4 linked regions of the Mus musculus genome follow. The protein of the gene in region 1 interacts with the protein of each later gene in a pairwise test. Links are inferred from orthologs where the notes say so. Each region holds a gene or a part of one and is shown in the gene's direction. Other genes may lie near its edges.

The links.
Region 2: the proteins of Grb2 (region 1) and Helz interact in a two-hybrid assay, tested with the Homo sapiens proteins (2 studies listed by BioGRID and IntAct). The link is inferred for Mus musculus from reciprocal best matches to the Homo sapiens genes GRB2 and HELZ.
Region 3: the proteins of Grb2 (region 1) and Hnrnpc interact in a two-hybrid assay, tested with the Homo sapiens proteins (2 studies listed by BioGRID and IntAct, with this or other methods). The link is inferred for Mus musculus from reciprocal best matches to the Homo sapiens genes GRB2 and HNRNPC.
Region 4: the proteins of Grb2 (region 1) and Prrc2a interact in a two-hybrid assay, tested with the Homo sapiens proteins (2 studies listed by BioGRID and IntAct). The link is inferred for Mus musculus from reciprocal best matches to the Homo sapiens genes GRB2 and PRRC2A.

What each region holds. Positions count from the first base shown.
Region 1 is NC_000077.6:115,705,733-115,709,854, reverse strand, and holds the start of Grb2 (growth factor receptor-bound protein 2), read left to right. Parts: upstream 1-1,257; 5' UTR 1,258-1,461; intron 1,462-4,122. UniProt on the Homo sapiens protein: Non-enzymatic adapter protein that plays a pivotal role in precisely regulated signaling cascades from cell surface receptors to cellular responses, including signaling transduction and gene expression.
Region 2 is NC_000077.6:107,546,620-107,550,808, forward strand, and holds the start of Helz (probable helicase with zinc finger domain), read left to right. Parts: upstream 1-1,313; 5' UTR 1,314-1,362; exon of another isoform or gene 1,363-1,375; intron 1,376-2,726; 5' UTR 2,727-2,782; intron 2,783-4,189. UniProt on the Homo sapiens protein: May act as a helicase that plays a role in RNA metabolism in multiple tissues and organs within the developing embryo.
Region 3 is NC_000080.6:52,072,946-52,076,555, reverse strand, and holds the end of Hnrnpc (heterogeneous nuclear ribonucleoproteins C1/C2), read left to right. Parts: intron 1-829; coding exon 830-943; intron 944-1,119; coding exon 1,120-1,301; intron 1,302-1,395; coding exon 1,396-1,476; 3' UTR 1,477-3,179; downstream 3,180-3,610. UniProt on the Homo sapiens protein: Binds pre-mRNA and nucleates the assembly of 40S hnRNP particles. Interacts with poly-U tracts in the 3'-UTR or 5'-UTR of mRNA and modulates the stability and the level of translation of bound mRNA molecules. Single HNRNPC tetramers bind 230-240 nucleotides.
Region 4 is NC_000083.6:35,162,002-35,166,392, reverse strand, and holds the start of Prrc2a (protein PRRC2A), read left to right. Parts: upstream 1-1,515; 5' UTR 1,516-1,658; intron 1,659-3,346; 5' UTR 3,347-3,409; coding exon 3,410-3,521; intron 3,522-3,696; exon of another isoform or gene 3,697-3,830; intron 3,831-4,013; coding exon 4,014-4,191; intron 4,192-4,391. UniProt on the Homo sapiens protein: May play a role in the regulation of pre-mRNA splicing.

The sequences.
Region 1 (4,122 bases):
AGTAAACACTTGTCGAAAGAACAATTCACTTGCCTTATTTTAGTGGACTCATTATTGTAGCAGAGGCTTGGGTATTCTTAACTGTATTTTGTTGGCTTCTAGAGAACACATTGACATTGGCTGTGTTCTTGCTCTCCTATAATTGAAAAGAGCTTTTGGAACTGAGAGGTACTTCTCCAAGCTTCATCTACTACTCCCCCAAAACCGGCAGCCCCGCACAGGAACCTATCTATGCACTTTGCATCGCACAGAACACGACTTTCTCACGCCTCCATCCATCTCTCTGTTCTGTGCCATTCCGTTTGTTGGCTAAGCGCTTACCCTGGCTCCTGTGCTGTGGAACTCCTACTCGCCCTCCAGTACTCAGTTCCACATCACCTTCTTTGTTAAGTCTTTTATACAGTGGGCTGAGGAACAGAGCCAGCCTTTCTCTATCTTTTTGGCTTCCTCAGCATTCCCCCAAAGAGCTATGTGTAAGTGTTATAGCTGTGTGTGTATGTGTGTGTGTGTGTGTGTGTGTGTGTGTGTGTGTGTGCGCGCGCGCGCGCGCGCGCATGAGGGTGTGTGCAGGTGAATGCTAGTGCTATCAGAGGCCAGCGGCACTAAGTCTCCTGGAACTGGGGTTACAGACAGTTGTGAGCCATCTGGTGTGGGTGCAGGTCCTCTGGAAGAGCAGCAAGCAGTTTTTGACCTGAGAGGTCTCTCCAGCCAAGACATTACTTGTTTACTCTTCTGCTGCTTCTCTCGATTTAACCTCTTGAAGGCCAGGATCTCTGCTCGTTGTTTCATCTTCTTTACCCAGCACAGTGCTTACTTACACTGGGTATGTGGTTCACTGCGTGAACAGACTAATCAAACAATTCATCGAATACTGCAGGTTGCACGAACCAGATCCCCAAACGTTTCTAGAACTGGTCCTCTATTTGGGTTGAGCCATCCTGAGATCTCTCCCCGCTCCTCGGTGCCTCTTTGCTTTGTTTTGGTAGAAAGGACGTGATTAGAGTGTGGAAAGCGCCGTTCCTCTAGAGCAGAGCTGTAATTCACTTGCTCCGGCACGTAGAGGGTTACAACGGCCCAGGGGCGGAGCCGAGTCCGTGCCACCTGCTGCGGGCCGAGCTGACGCATGCGCGAAGCCCCCCTCTAGGCTACCTGCCGGGCGGAGCGGAGGAGGAGCGCTTGCGCTCTGGGCCTTTTCCGCCGGGGGAAGTCTCGCGGGGGCGGGGCGCGGCGGGGCGGGGCCGCGTGGGGAAGTTCTCGCGGGACCCTGGCGAGGAGCGGAAGCTAGGTTGCTCTGTTGCTTCTGCGATCGGGCGGCGGCGGCGGCGAGAGCGAGCGGGGCTGCGGCCGGGACGGCGGTCGGGGCAGCGGGCGCCGCAGTCAGGGAGCAGCAGCGAGGTTGGCGGCTGCGGGCGGCAGCGCAGGGCGGGCCGGGCCGGGTGACGGAGTGGACGGCGCGTCACGGTGAGTGCAGGGGAGCGGGCGGGAAGTGAGCGGGAGCTCCGTGGTCCCCGCGCCGCGCGGCGGCGAGCGGCTCGGGCCCGGGCTGCTCGGGGCTGCCGGGGAGGGCCGCTCGCGGGCCGGGGAAGGCTGGGACCCGAGCGCAGCGGCTGCGCAGCCGTCTCCTCGTTTCCCCTTTTGGGGCGCTTCCTTCCTGGTGCCGGTCTTCCTCCCGCTGGGGGCAGAGACCCGGCCCGCCGGGGAGGTCTGGTGTGGCGGCCGTCCGGCTGGACGCTGGGGAGCCCGGAGCAGCCGAGAGGCGCAGGCTGCTGCTCTGAGTCAGGCTGACTGAGCCCGGGAGGCGGGGGATTCGGTGCCCGCAGCTAACGTGGTGATTGATGCTCCTTTGACCTGCAAGGCCACCACGTCACCGCCTCTTGGCATCTTGCGGTGGAATTGTGTGCGGGAATCCACCGTGACTTAGAATGATTGTTACCCGGACCCGCCGACGGGTCTTTGTGAGAGTTGGGCGCTTCTCTTTTTAGAAGGACTTGAGGGGGAAAAAATACTTGTTGGGGGGTGGGGGGGAAGCAGCAGCAGCAGCGGATAGGAATGCTGGAAGGAAGGAATTTTGGGGAGAGAGCCCCGTTGGTTCCTGCAACACTCTTAGGTCGTGTGGGTTGGTAAGAAAGGGATTTTAGGCTGTGTTCAAAAGCTATAGCAGTGCAGTTTGCCGGGTAGCCGAAGCGCGTTCAACGTCATCTTTCGGTGCTGTTGACACTCAGAAAGAGGCTAGAGAAACTGGGTTTTGTTGTTGTTGTTTTTTTGTTTTGTTTTTTGTTTTTGACTTCTTCACCTCTCTTTCACTTTTCCGTTTTTGCCTTCTGTCTCCATTCTACGCTACTAGGGACACGAAAAGCATCTGTAGCGCCAGTCATTGGTCCCTCCGCCCCCTTTAAAAAAAAATCTACTTCCCCTTCTTGCTGTTCCTCCGTTATAATTTTCAAGTTTCTGCTGGTTTGGGCACTGTTCATTTTCTCCGTCGTTCTAAGATCCCCTTTTCTTTTGGAGGGAGATACCTTCCCTGTTTGCATTCCTTTTTTAACGTCCACTGTATTCATCAGGCAGCCAGGAGGGCTACTTGGGAGCCAGGGGGGCGGGGGCGGGTGGTGGTGTTGGTGGTAGGGGGCTGTTTAAGTTCTCCCCCTGGGAACTAGGAAACTCAAAGGACTGAATTCATCCCTAAGTAAGTGATAGTGACCAGTTCACAAGTGGATTTTGCCTGTTTGCTTGTGTTACTTGTATTTTGGTGTTTTTTTTTTTTCACAGATCATGGTTTGTTCGTAGTATTTTCCTTCTTGCTCCCTCCTGTTTCCCCTCACTGTTAGTAAGGGAGATTGAGTCAGTTTGGGAGCTGAAAGACTCCTTTTTAAGGTTTTAGTGAGGTTAACTATTGTTAAGTGAGAAATCACCCATGGGAGTTTGTGAAGTAAGATAGCTTGAAATAGAAGAGAACTTTGATATTTGTGAATTAAAGCCTACCTACCTACCCTAACAAATGATTTAGTCCTAATCAGGCTTTTAAAAGTGATTTTTAAGTTTTTTACATTCTTGAGTGTATTTACCTGCGCGTGCGCGCGGGCGTGTGTGTGTGTGTGTGTGTGTGTGTGTACATGCCTGGTGCCCTCAGATGCTAAAGGAGGACCAATACCCCTTGAACAGGAGTTACAGAGGGTTGTGAGCAGCCATATTCTTCTCTCTGGCCCGATAGTTGGTTTTAAGCACCGTTTGCTGTGTTACTGAGGTTTTTTCATGATTTCCACTATGTCGCGTGTGTACAGCAGCCCTTAGAGAATTATGGAGTGTTAGACTTCAGAGATGGCAAAACAGAGCTGCCACTCTCCCGACAGGCAGCACTGAGAGGTAGTTAGTTACCTGCTGATTGGCCATGGTTACTGAGATTTATTGTTTTGTGATTGTCAAAGTTGATTTTCCCCTGAGTTGTGCCAAGTCTAATGTGCATCATTTTCTTTGTTCAGACATAGTGCATTATCTGAAATGCAAATTTTAAAATTTGCTTAGTGTTTCCTCATTTTAACAGTGATTCTTAAAATTTGTATGTATAAACATAACCTGCCAATTAAAAAAAATTTTATGGGCTCTCCGGAGAGATGGCTCATTGGTTAAGAGCACTGACTGTTCTTCCAGAGGTCCTGAGTTCAGTTCCCAGCAACCATATGGTGACTCACAACCATTTGTAATGGGATCTGACACCCTCTTCTGGTCTGTCTGAAGACAGCTACAGTGTACTCATACACATATAATAAATAATTCTTTTTAAAAAATTTTATTCAATTTTTTTGAGACAAGGTCTTGATGTATTGTCCAAGTTGGTCTCAAATTATTTCTCTATTGATTTTTGAGGCAGGGTCAGTGTCTCTCTGTTTAGTCCTGGCTTTCTTAGAACTCTATCTGTAGACTAACTAGGCTGGCCTTAAACTCACAGACATTCTCCTGCCTCTGCTTTCTGTTGAAGTGTTGGGATGAAGGTGTGCGCCACCATTGGCCCTGGTTTTGCTTTGAGCCATTCTGCTTCAGCCCCACCCCAGTGCTTCTGCTGCCACTTGGGAGGGGACACTGTCACAGCTAGGTGGTGGCAGAACTCAGGCAAGATTGCAGAATGTG
Region 2 (4,189 bases), about 8.2 Mb from region 1:
TCCGGGGAGGCGAGCATCTAGAGGTCCTCAAACTCAGCAGTGCTGACACTGGAGGAAGAGAATGTATAGGGTGGGGGTGGGGAGTTAATGAACAGACCTACATTTCTGGCAGGACTAGGGCTGCAAGGAGCTGGTACTTCATGGAGCAAAAGGGGTGGTCACCTGAGCTAGGTGTTGCTCGCCTGAAGCAACGCGGGAGGGGCGGGGAAAGCGCTGGGCTTGTCTTGCAACCAGAAAGCAGATGCCCGCGGGATGCTCGCAAAGGTCTGTTGCCGGCGCACGGTCGCCTCCTACTTCCTGCGTCCTGGTCGCCTCCAAGCCACTCTGGACATCCCCCTCCTCTCTCTGCCCAGAGCCAGCGTGGCGCCCGCCCTCTACCTTGTCCCGCCGCCTGGGGTCGCCGCCTTGTGGGAACAGGACAGTTGAAACGCGGTAGGCACTACCCCCCAACCCACCCGGGGGACCCCCTCCCGGCCCAGGCGCGCATCCACGCCCCACCCGGACTCTGCAGCCGGGTTCTCTTGAGTTACCTGCATGGGGAAGTCACAGTCCACAATTTGGACTCTAACCCGGCTGAATTCTAAAGCCACATTCCTAGGGGAGGGGGTCCTCCGACCTAGAGGGTCGCAGATCACATTACCGGCCAAGAGGAGGGGACCGCGCGAGTAAACTGGGGTAAAAGTTGCATTTAGCTTAACCTTCCCAGATCCCAATTGCAGCTTTGCGGGCGGATTGACTCGGCGTTTCACCGAGTTCCTGGGATCCTAGGGCCCCAGAGTGGCTTCTTAGGATACCGACACTGTCCCCGCGCGCGAGTGCGACATGCCTGGCGGATGCCCCGGGGCGGGAAGCGCGAGCGGTAGCAAGGACCTGGAGCTGGGGGAACCGCTCGCAGGCGTGCGCATTCATGCGCTCATGCATCCCTGCATACATCTATGCATCCGCTAGCCGGCTCACACACCACCCGCGTCCGGGACACGCCGTGTTGATTGAATGCAGGAGTAGGGTATCTGGCTACTAGGGCAGGATCGCGGCGGGGCAGACAGCAGCTCGCGTAAGGAATGGGGGAGATAGGGACGGGGGTGGGGGGAAGAGAGAGCACCCCAAAGGCACAGTTGGAAAACTGGGTGTGTGAGTAGGGGTGTTCCTTGAGAAGTCTCGCAGGCGCTGAAGGGGGCCGGGCGGGCCTCTGGGGCCAACTTTCCGGAGGGAGGTGCAGCCGGAGGGGGCGGCGCCGGCGGCGGGAGGCGGGAGTCGGGGGCCGAGGGGGGGGGGGAGTCACTTTAAAGGCTCTTTCTTACCCATAATGCTTTGTGGGGACGTTGACAAGTGGATCCAAGATGGCGTAGAAAGTAATGACAGGTAAGTCCTGACTTCCCCGTTCTCCGCTGCCCGGGTCGCTTCAGGAGCCTCCAGAGCCATCCGGGGAGAGGCCCGGACTCTCCTCGGGTGCTCCGGGTCCGGGACAGCGCGGCCCCGGGGACAGCGGGGGATCCCGCCGGCCGCCGGCAGGGCCTGGGGAGCGGGGCTCTCTCAGAGGCGAGGCCCGGACGCTGGAGCTGTTTACTGTTTCTTCCCCTCCTCAATCTCCTTTTCCCTCCGCTGGGGGGCTGAGGTGCCAGGGACCCAGGCGGTGGCCCGAGGGTCCTTGCACACGCCCGAGGTTCGGGGGGACCCGGGAGCCCGCGCGAGGCTGCTCCGGCACGGGCCGACCCTGGGGTCCCCGCACGCCCCGCGCCCCAGGGTCGCGGCTTAGGGTGGGGAGCGGGCGGCCTCCCACGCCGCGCGCGGTGCAGCCCTCCGGGTTAGCATTTCCACCCAGGGTGGGGCGGCGACCCCAGGGCAGGGGACAGCACGAAAGTGGGTCAGGGGGCGCCCCTCCCCAGCAGAGGGCTCTGCTCAAGATTCACTGTGGTCCCCCTCTCCCCGCCCCCCTCCTGGGACATGCGTGGCCCGTGAGCACATCTACAAAAACAAATGCACAGTCTCTTCCTGGAGGTGTCTCCAAAGGCCCCTTTCTTTCCTTCTCTCTCTTTACCCTCAAGGGCTCGGACACATAGTCCTAAGTAGGAACTGTGATTTCTCTCCCCAAAATGAGTTGAGTCTTCTGCCCCCTGGCCTTTGCTGAGGGTCCTCACAGACAGGGCTGGAAGCCAGAGCCTTCAGATTCCTTTTGGGTTGGGAACCTTGTTTTTTTTTTTTTTTTTTTTTTTTTTTGTTGAGCTCCGAAATTGGCATCCTTTCTCCCTTGCAAAGTTACACTTTTTAGACAAGCCATTAGGATAATCAGAAGTGTAACTTCAGAGATAGTGGATGCCGGGAGCAGCCGGGGGAAGAGGGAGACGTTATCTGGCCTAGTTTGTTCTTGATTTTGCTCTCTTCACTCATATGAATAGCTTTTTTCCCCCCCTCCTTGATTTTTTTCTCCCTTCTTTTATTTTTGAAAGTAAGACTAATCAGTGTAGAATAGATGAGTTTATTATGTTTAAGGTTGAAGACTATTTTCTAATCTGTTGCTGAAAGAAAATATTTTCAATTTTAGGTAAAAGAAGCAAATTTTTTTCCCCTCCAAAGCTTCATCCTGTATCTTTTTTTTTTTTTTTTTTAAATAACTTTTTCCACTTGAAGTGTATCCATATTCTTTTACTAAAGGACTATAAAATGCTTGTAACTGGTAACAGCTCCAACTGGTGTTGCATACCATCTTCTTTTTCTGTTTGCTCCAGGAACTGGATGAAGTAATTGATCACTAATGAACTACAGAGCCGGTGAGATGTGCAAGGTGAGACTGAAGTTCAAAAACTACACCCTGTTTCCCCTCTTTCTTGTATCCAACTCAAGGGTCAGGGAAAGCTACTTTCCAAATAGATCAGTCAGCCGACTGGGATACAGGCAAGGCGAGATTTAGGAAAGACATACCATCCTTTTTAGTGGCTCCCACTTATTCATACGTACTGAAGCTTTTCTAGAGCTAAATGTTAGCTGTGGCTATATACTTGATCAATGTCTTTTCCAGGAGTAATTATAGTTTGCCTCTTCTCATTTCCTTGGCTAACTTTAATGGGATGGTCTGGATTTAATCTGTTTTCACGTCCATTGCTTGCCCTACACTGAGTATAAGAAATTGGCTAGATGAAGTCTGCACACCCACACTTTCTGGGATGTTTATGAAGTATATCCTTTTCCATCATGAATAATATTTTTCAGCAAGCAATCGCTTCTATTTTTATTTTTCTTAGTTTTTGGTTTTGTGGTGCTGGTATGTTTAAGACCTAATGGCCTCACACATCCTAGGAAAAGTGCAGAACCATTGAGCCATATCCTTAGTCCCTTCTATTTTTCCAAAGCCGAATAGTAAATGCCTGATAGTACTTTAGAACAAAAATGATAGTGTTAAGTTCTGTGTTGCTCAGGGGGTTTGACGACTCAGTCATCACTTCTGATCATATATGGTGTGTAAATTTATTGTTTTATTTATCCCATGTAATACGTTGGATCTGTGTGTGTGCCTGAGAGAGATAGAGTGGGGGGCGCAGGAAGGGAATCACTATAGTTTCTTTGGCTGGCTAAGTAGGCAAGGCTGACCTTGAACTCCTGATTGCTGTGATTAAAGTTATGTCTGGTGTAATGCCTTGGATTTAAAGGACTCTTTTTGTTTTGTTTTGTTTTGTTTTTTTTGTTTTTTTGAGACAGGGTTTCTCTGTGTAGCCCTGGTTGTCCTGGAACTCACTCTGTAGACCAGGCTGGCCTGGAGAACTCAGAACTCTGCCTGCTCTACCTCCCAAGTGCTAGGACTAAAGGCGTGCGCCACCACTGCCCCGCTAAAGGACATTTTTAAAAAAAAAATTATTTATTATATACACTGTACACTGTAGCTGTCTTCAGACACTCCAGAAGAGGGAGGCAGATCTCATTATGGATGGTTGTGAGCCACCATGTGGTTGCTGGGATTTGAACTCAGGACCTTCGGAAGAGCAGTTGGTACTCTTACCCACTGAGCCATCTCTCCAGCCCGCTAAAGGACATTTTTATATTAGTGAACAGTTCGTGCTGTGTACCAGGGAGAGAGAAGCTTGTTATGGTTTTTAACCATTTTCTCAACTTAATGATACCTTATTGTGGTTGCTTTAGAGAAATATAAGTAATTATGGTCAATTGGCTTATTGTATACTTATTTACCCCCCAACAC
Region 3 (3,610 bases), on another chromosome or scaffold:
AAGAGCTGTCAGTGCTCTTAACCGCTGAGCCATCTCTCCAGCCCAACACTGTTCTTAATCTCTTAAAACACCTCCTATATCCTGTGATAGAGAGCAAGGTGACACCTGGCATTGGTCTCAGTTTACCCAAAAAAATACAAACCAGGGAAGAGGGGGAAAGAATGTTGTTTAAGGATTGTAGTCTGAGTTCTGTACTTAATAGCTTGGTTAATTTTATAAATGTTTATGTTGAACTAAATTTTAGCTAGGGCATACTCTTGGTTGTCAGTTTTCTATATTGATCGACATAATTGAAGTATGTCAGCAAACTATGAAAGCTGAGAAAGTAAATAGAGCAATTGCAGTATCTTAGTTGAAATTCTCAGCTTAAGTTTTTTGTTTTGTTTCTTTTTAAAACAGAAGTAAAGCTGGGCTAATCTCAGTGCCCCTAAGGAGAAATGGGGGTGTAGACAGGAGACTGAAAGCCTTCCCTGTATCGGAACACTTTCATGAACATGGGCACATACACAATGATAAGACAACTTAGAAGTTGCTATAAAATAGAATGATATTTTTTTGGTCAGGAAAATACATGTTTAGGTTAAAGTGATACTATGTAAGGCATTTATAGCTTTTTTTTAAAAATTATTTTTAAATCATTTGCTGACTAAAGATTACTAGTTACTATTGCAGTTGGTGCCTCTGTATTTCTTTCAGCTTTTTGAATTGTTAACTAGAAAAACATTTCTTCCTGTGGTTCTGAGACCTAAGGCACAGCACCTAGAAAGAACACTTTCAGTAACTGGTAAATGGTGCTTTATTCTAGTCTAACATTGTAGTTCTGTTACAGTGAAAGGTGATGACCTTCAGGCCATTAAAAAGGAGCTGACTCAGATAAAACAAAAAGTGGATTCTCTTCTGGAAAGCCTGGAAAAAATTGAAAAAGAACAAAGCAAGCAAGCAGGTAATAGTCTTTTAATTTTCTAATTGAATTTGGGTTATCTTCCTAAGGTGGTTTAATGTATATGCAAATTGGGCTGTTTGGAAGGGGCATTAATTTATTTGGAAAACTTTACTTTTGTTCTTTGATGATTAATGGGAATTGTCTATATCCTGTGGGCAACACTTGCCCCTGGACAGACTTGTCCTTCTCATCCCCAGTAGAGATGAAGAATGAAAAGTCTGAAGAAGAGCAGAGCAGCGCCTCTGTGAAGAAAGATGAGACTAATGTGAAGATGGAGTCTGAGGCAGGTGCAGATGACTCTGCTGAGGAGGGTGACCTGCTGGATGATGACGATAATGAAGATCGGGGGGATGACCAGGTGATTACCTTTGGAAAAAAGAAAGTTGGGAGGACTGGGGTCCAGGGATGAGAAGAGTACCTCTAACTCTCCCTTATTTGTGTCTTTCTCACAGCTGGAGTTGAAGGATGATGAAAAAGAGCCTGAGGAAGGAGAAGACGACAGAGACAGCGCCAATGGGGAGGATGACTCTTAAGCACATAGTGGAGCTTAGAAATCTTATCCCATTATTCATTTACCTAGGCGTTTGTGGGAGATGAAAGTAACACCAGGTCATCTCCCCTGGGGTCTTCTGCACATTCTCACTGTTGTCCCGCCTTACCCTCCCTGTGTTCATTAATTCATGATTGCCCTGCGCCTAGTTACAGTTCCACTTCCTTTGATGCTCCGTAGTACTTTCGTTAAGTCTCACCCTGTAAGTTTTGCTTTAATTTTGATACCTCTTTGACTTAACAATAAAAAGTTGTATGGTTTTTATCAACTGTCTCCAAAATAATCTCTTGTTATGCAGGGAGTACAGTTCTTCCCATTCATGACTTCAGTAGTTGCTTCCCTAACTGCAGAGGCATCTCATTTACTTGTAACCCCAAGAGCAGCTTTGCATTAGAGGTGTGTGTTTTCCCTCACGTGAGTGGGACTGTTACAACACGAATGTAACCATGTATTTTTGTGAATGGGAGTTGGCATGTCAAATGCATCTTACAGGAAAATAGTGTAATAGTCTTAATATTTGTTTTCTAAAGTTATACCATGGGTTATTTTTGTGAACAGCCTGATGTTTGGGATCTTTTTCTCAAAAATAAACAGTTCCTTATTAAACCAGGAATTTGAAGGAAAGACAATTTTTTTTTTTCCGAGACAGGATTTTTCTATATAGGCCTGGCTGTCCTGGAACCCACTTTGTAGACCAGGCTGGCCTGGAACTCAGAGATCTGCCTGCCTCTGCCTCCTGAGTGCTGGGATTAAAGCCGTGCGCCACCACACCCTGCTGGAAAGAAAGTTTTTCAATTACATTTTTTTTTTAATAGCAGCCTCCACAAATCGTTAGGTTGTATTAAATATAATCTTCATGCATACCAATATATATGAATAAAAGTCATTTTGAGAGCATTGTTAACTTTAAATATTTTTGACACGGAGTGCTTGAATGTTCAGTTACTGATTAAAACCCAGGTTTCTTTATTGCATTCTCAACCTGTGCCTCAAAAGTTTCAAAATAGGAAAGCATTTGTCTTTCCCGTTTTATATAGCATTTGCCTTCCTAAGAACTGAGTCTATAACGAGAGTTATAATTACCCATGTGAAGTACTCTTACCCCTTTTCTTGATTTGTTTGAGTCAGCTTGGAACATTTTGCTGTGTAAGACCTAACATAAGGTAAAGGTATAAACAGATTTGGGGGCTTGTTTGTTTATTTTTGTATAGCAGGCTATTCAAATCTTTTATGCACACAGACTTTCTACTTCTCAAAAAGACCCTGTTGTGTATATCTAGCATACAGCTGCAAGTCTATGCTTTCATGCTATGCATTGTAGGCAAAAGTAACCCATGATAAAACTGAGGAGAGGCTGATCTAGGGGCTTCCCTTGGCTCCAGTGTGCAAATATAAAAATGGCTTTTATTGTGACCCCCCTCTGCCCCTTCCCCTAATCTTGATATTGTCTTGGGTTTTTGAGGAATTGGCTAGATATCAGAGGTTAAAGATGCTAATAAATAAAACCTGTTTAAATATGCTGTTAGAAGCTGGTGTGTACAAAATGCTGGGGTGGGTTCAATTAGTTCAGTATTGGGTACTTTCTGATATTGGGTATTGTATTTATTCAGGTGACTCCCCCGCCCCCTCCCCCCAAAAAAAGCAGTTGGGAAATTTGAGAATAAAGACTGTGGTTCTGTCCCTTTTCATAGTTGGTATATACATCAGCAAAAGACTCAGGAGCCTGTGTCTTCATAGGAACACTAAGTGCCAGCATGTGACTAAAAAAGGGTGTCATCCCTGGCCCTCCCTCAAACTGCTGTTGCTAGTTTATTTTGGAAACTATTTAGAACTATTTAGATATTGTTAGAGAACTATTTAGGATATTTTACTGGTGGTATTAAACTAAGTTAATACTAAAACTTGTCAAGTTAAAATGTTCACAGGTTTATTCCACTATGAGAATATCTTAAGTCTTTCAAAGTTGTGAGATTTTGTTCATTTCTAGTTTTTTAAAAAAGATTGGGGTGGAAGATGGCATCAGATCTGATGTGGCTGCTGGGATTTGAATTCAAAATGTCACTGCTCCCAACCAGTGAGCCATGTCTCTAGGCCTCCTTTCTAGTTGGGAATACAGA
Region 4 (4,391 bases), on another chromosome or scaffold:
AGTCAGGTTATTCCTCTGCCTCTACAATATCCCATGCATGTCTCTGGTACTTCAAACTGTTACTGATGACCACTGGAGAGATGGCTCAGCACTTGCTGTTCTTTCAGAGGACCTGGATTCGATCCCCAACACCTACATCTGGGAACTCACAATCACCAGTAATTCCAGTTCAAAGAGATCTGAACTCCTCTTGGTACAGGAACCAAGAACCCAGGTGGCACCAGGAACCCACTTGGTACATATGCATATATGTAGATATGCATACAAATAAAATAAAAACAAATAAATGTTTCTAGAGTTAGGAAAATGGCTCAGCGGATGAAATGCTTGCTAACAAGCATGAGGACCTAAGTTTGGACCTCCTGTACTCATGTCCAGGCTGGGCAGATCACTCCTGTCTGTAACTTCAGCACCGGGATGCAGAGATAGAAAGATCTCAAGCTCTTTGGCCAGTCCATATGGAATCTGAGCTCAGCCATCCAAGTATCAAGATTCACTGAAAGATGAAAAGAATGTCTCAAAAAATAAAGTGTTTGCGCGAGCCCTCTGGACGTCAACCTCTGGTTTGTAAAGGCCAGTGAGCACCCACCAATATACATAAAAATTCACAGGAAAATGTTGAGTAAGTGTAAGTGTGGTGAGAGGCAAAGATTTCTACAGTCAAGTACTAAGAAACAAAGAGGGGAAGTAGTACGACCTTTAAAGCTGAAACTCATTGTTGAAGGAACATTAATTATAAAAACAGTTTTTAAAACTATTGAGCATAAAAATTAAATGTCAAATATCCGCCGTAGTTAGTCGCTGCTAAAATTTGGAAGAGTAGGTCATTCCTTGCCTTTGTTCAAATTGTTTGCATATATTATGCAAATACCCAGAACCATTCGAAGAACGCCTACTCGAAGAAAGTCAATGATACACTCCTCTGGACCCTTTGATTGGCTTGCCTATCCACTTCATTTGCATGACGTGATTTGATAACTGGAAAGCCCCGCCTCCCTGACGCGTTTACCTCTCACGAATGGACACCAGACCTGAAATTCTTCCAGGGTCTATGTAACTCCGCCCTCGACTAACTAATCCCTTCCATTCGTCGCAGTTCTTTCCGTCTTCTCCGCTGAGAGTGACCGGGGCCTAGCATCCCTTCCCTGCGTGTCTCTCGGCTCCCAGCCGTCCGCGGACCAACTACGCATGCGCATCCTTTTTCTCCCACCATCCGTCGTGTAAATTCTGCGCCCCAACGGCCTCGCATTCCGCCCGGTCTACGCGTCTCAACTGCCGACGCCAAGACGTCTCCCTAGCCAACCGGCGTCCTAGCGTCTGTAAGTCCCTCCCCTTTATGCAAATATCCTCCACACACTGCCTTTATTTTTTTAAAGTAGGGACAGCCCTGAAGAGCGGAGGGGTCGGAGAGTAAGGGCTCCGCCCCCTATGCAAATAAGGGGGCGTGCCCAGCCGCGGAGGGAGGCGGGAGGTGGGGGGTGTTCCCGGGGGCGGCGGTTGCCCGGATGGGCCGTTAGTCGGAGCCCAGCCGCGGAGTGAGCGAGGGAGACGGGAGGAGCCGAGCGCGGCGCCATCCGCCGCCATCCGCCCCCGCCCCGCCGCCATCCGCCCCGGGAAGCCTTTGAGCCCGGGTCCCGGACCCCCACGCACCCGGCTAGGTGAGTCTGGGCGAGCTGGGCGCTGACGCCCTTTCCGGCGCGGGGCGGCGGCAGCGGCGGCGGCGGGCCGGGGGAGAAGCTGCCATCAGCCGCCGCCATCTTGTCCTCCTGCCGCCGGCCTGCCCCTCCCCCTCGGCCTGCGCCGGCCGCTCCCAGGCCGCTGTGGAGGGCTGGGGGCGGCCGCGGCCCAGCAGCCTGCTCCTCAGGGCACGACCGCGCTCCAGGCCGCGGTTCCTGCTCGCGTCGCGCCCTCGGCCCCTCGGCCGGCCCGGGGCCCCTCCGCCGCCTGTAGACCTACCCTTTGAGGGGCTCTTGGTGTTTCTGGAGCCCTTGCTGCCACCCGGCGCTATGGCTCCCGGTCTTTCTTGGTCTTTGCGTCGAGTCACTCTGGTTCTGGAGCCCCGCTTTCGGCCAGCATCTTCGCCTTTCTGCGTCCCCCAAGCCTCTGCGTTCCCTTTTCCCCCCATGGCCCTATCTCCTCCTCTTCCCTCTTTTCTTCTGAGCTCCCCTGACACTGCCCCTTGTCAGCCTTCCTCAGCCGTTCCTGCTTCCCTCCCTGCTTTCTGCTTGATTCTCTCTTTAGCAGTTGAAATCTGTCTGCTCTACGGTTTTTCTGCTTTCTCCCCCTTTCATGGTAGATTTCAGATTGCCTTCCTTAAGTGCCTAGAGAGCAACCCCTGTCTTCTTTTCTCTGGCTTGTGGTAAAGTTAGTTCTCTCCCCGATTTTGGCTTTCATCCTAGGCCTGCATGCTTTCTTGCTATCTTCCATCTCTTTTTCACACTGTTCCCACCCACAAATGAATGCCCGGTCACTCGAGGATGGATTCAGATGTAGAGTTTTTCCTGCCTGAGGAGTAAGGGCTGTTAGGGGAACAAATGACTGCTTATGAAGAGACTGGATGAGGATAAAAATGGTAGTTGGTTCTGGGTTTGGCCTCTGCTGCCTGGCCCATGGTTACAGGGTGTTGTCGAGGTAGCTCCGTCATGCTGTGGTTTTCCTCAGTTTTACATGGGGTCCACTAGTTTTTTGTTTTTTTGTTTTTTTCTGCCAGCAGAATTGTTTCCAAGAGCCTGTGTGGGGGCTATGTAAGGAATAGATGGAATATTTTGCATCCAGGGGTTCTGTGGAGCCCCTGTTGTTTAGTAAGGCTTAGTCTGGCACCAGCTCCTGGTCTGAGAGCAAGCTCATAAAAATCCTTAAGCTCCCAGCATACCTTCCTTCAAACCTCCCAGATGGGACTTAAGGCTGCTGGGAATGAAACCTGGGACACAGGGCCCTGGGGCGTGATTAGGGAGCTGGTGTCTAATAGGTTGACAATCTGAAGTTCTTGTACTTGCTCGATAGAGTTGTGTACCTCATTCTGGTTTTCTCTGGGGCTTTGACTTGGTTGTTCAATTTAATCGTATGTCTCTGAAATTATTTTGGAGGAGTGTAAGATTAGTTGCCATTTCTAAATGGCACAAAGGATAGATGGGTAAGATACTAGGTTGCTACTTGGTTTTCTTTGTTGGGATATGTCAGGGGGAAGGGGGCTGTGGAAGCCAAGTGGATGGTGGTTGCTTAAGAGACTGTAGTGTTTTACACAAGCCAGAGAACCAAGTATTTGGGCCCTAAAGAGAATGCAGAGAGCTTCTAAGCTTTTGTCTGAAAGGGGCAGAACCTGAACTGCCTACTGTCTGGCCCACAGGCACCGGCTCGTTTTGGGGGAGGTGCCTGCAGGACCCAACGTACTCAATGAGCTTCCAGCGCAATGTCCGATCGCTCGGGGCCGACTGCCAAGGGGAAGGATGGAAAGAAGTATTCCTCGCTCAACCTGTTTGATACGTATAAGGGCAAGTCCTTAGAGATCCAGAAACCCGCTGGTGAGGGTCCTGTCCTGTAAAGACGTTCCTGATATTTGCAGGCTGAGCATGTGTGGGATATAGGCTTTAGAGCTCTCCAACAAAGGCAACTAACAGACCAGATGAATACTGGAGACCTCTCAGTTTCATCTTCAGTGCTGAAGGGGGTGCTGGGCTTTGGGTGAAACACAGCTTATCCTCCTACAAAGGCGTGTTTTTGGTTCCCTGTCCTTGGACACGTAAGAATCGGAGGCAAAGTAATGTGGTGGATTTGAAAAGGTCTTGGACCAGCTTGCCCCCCGCAGGCTCAGGATCAACCATCCCACAGATGATTATGCTGTATCTCACCTTTCCCAGGAGAGCTTAAGAGATTATTGAGTAATGGAATGGTTTCTGAGAGAAGCCTATAGTGAAAAGATGGTAGGGTTGTCTAAACGGGATTTGTTGACGGGACGCTGTTAGGTCTCCCGTGTGAGGTCTTTTTGATCCTTTTTCTCTCCACCGTTTCTTCAGTTGCCCCTCGACATGGCCTGCAGAGTCTCGGAAAAGTTGCCATTGCCCGGCGCATGCCACCCCCAGCCAACCTTCCAAGCCTGAAAGCCGAGAACAAAGGCAATGACCCCAATGTCTCACTAGTGCCGAAAGACGGAACAGGATGGGCAAGCAAACAGGAGCAGTCCGACCCCAAGAGGTAGATAGCTGTGGGACTTCCTGAGGCTCGTAGCTTTGAGCTGGGGAGTGTGTTAAGGCATGAGACTGAGAGAAGCACCTTCTGCACCTAGTTTGTTAGATGACTAAGAATTGAAACCTTAAACTTTGATGGAGAGAAAACAGGAAGAAACAGGCGAGGCCTGTGTACCAGTTGCTTTGTCCTAGTGTTTGTAGATAGTA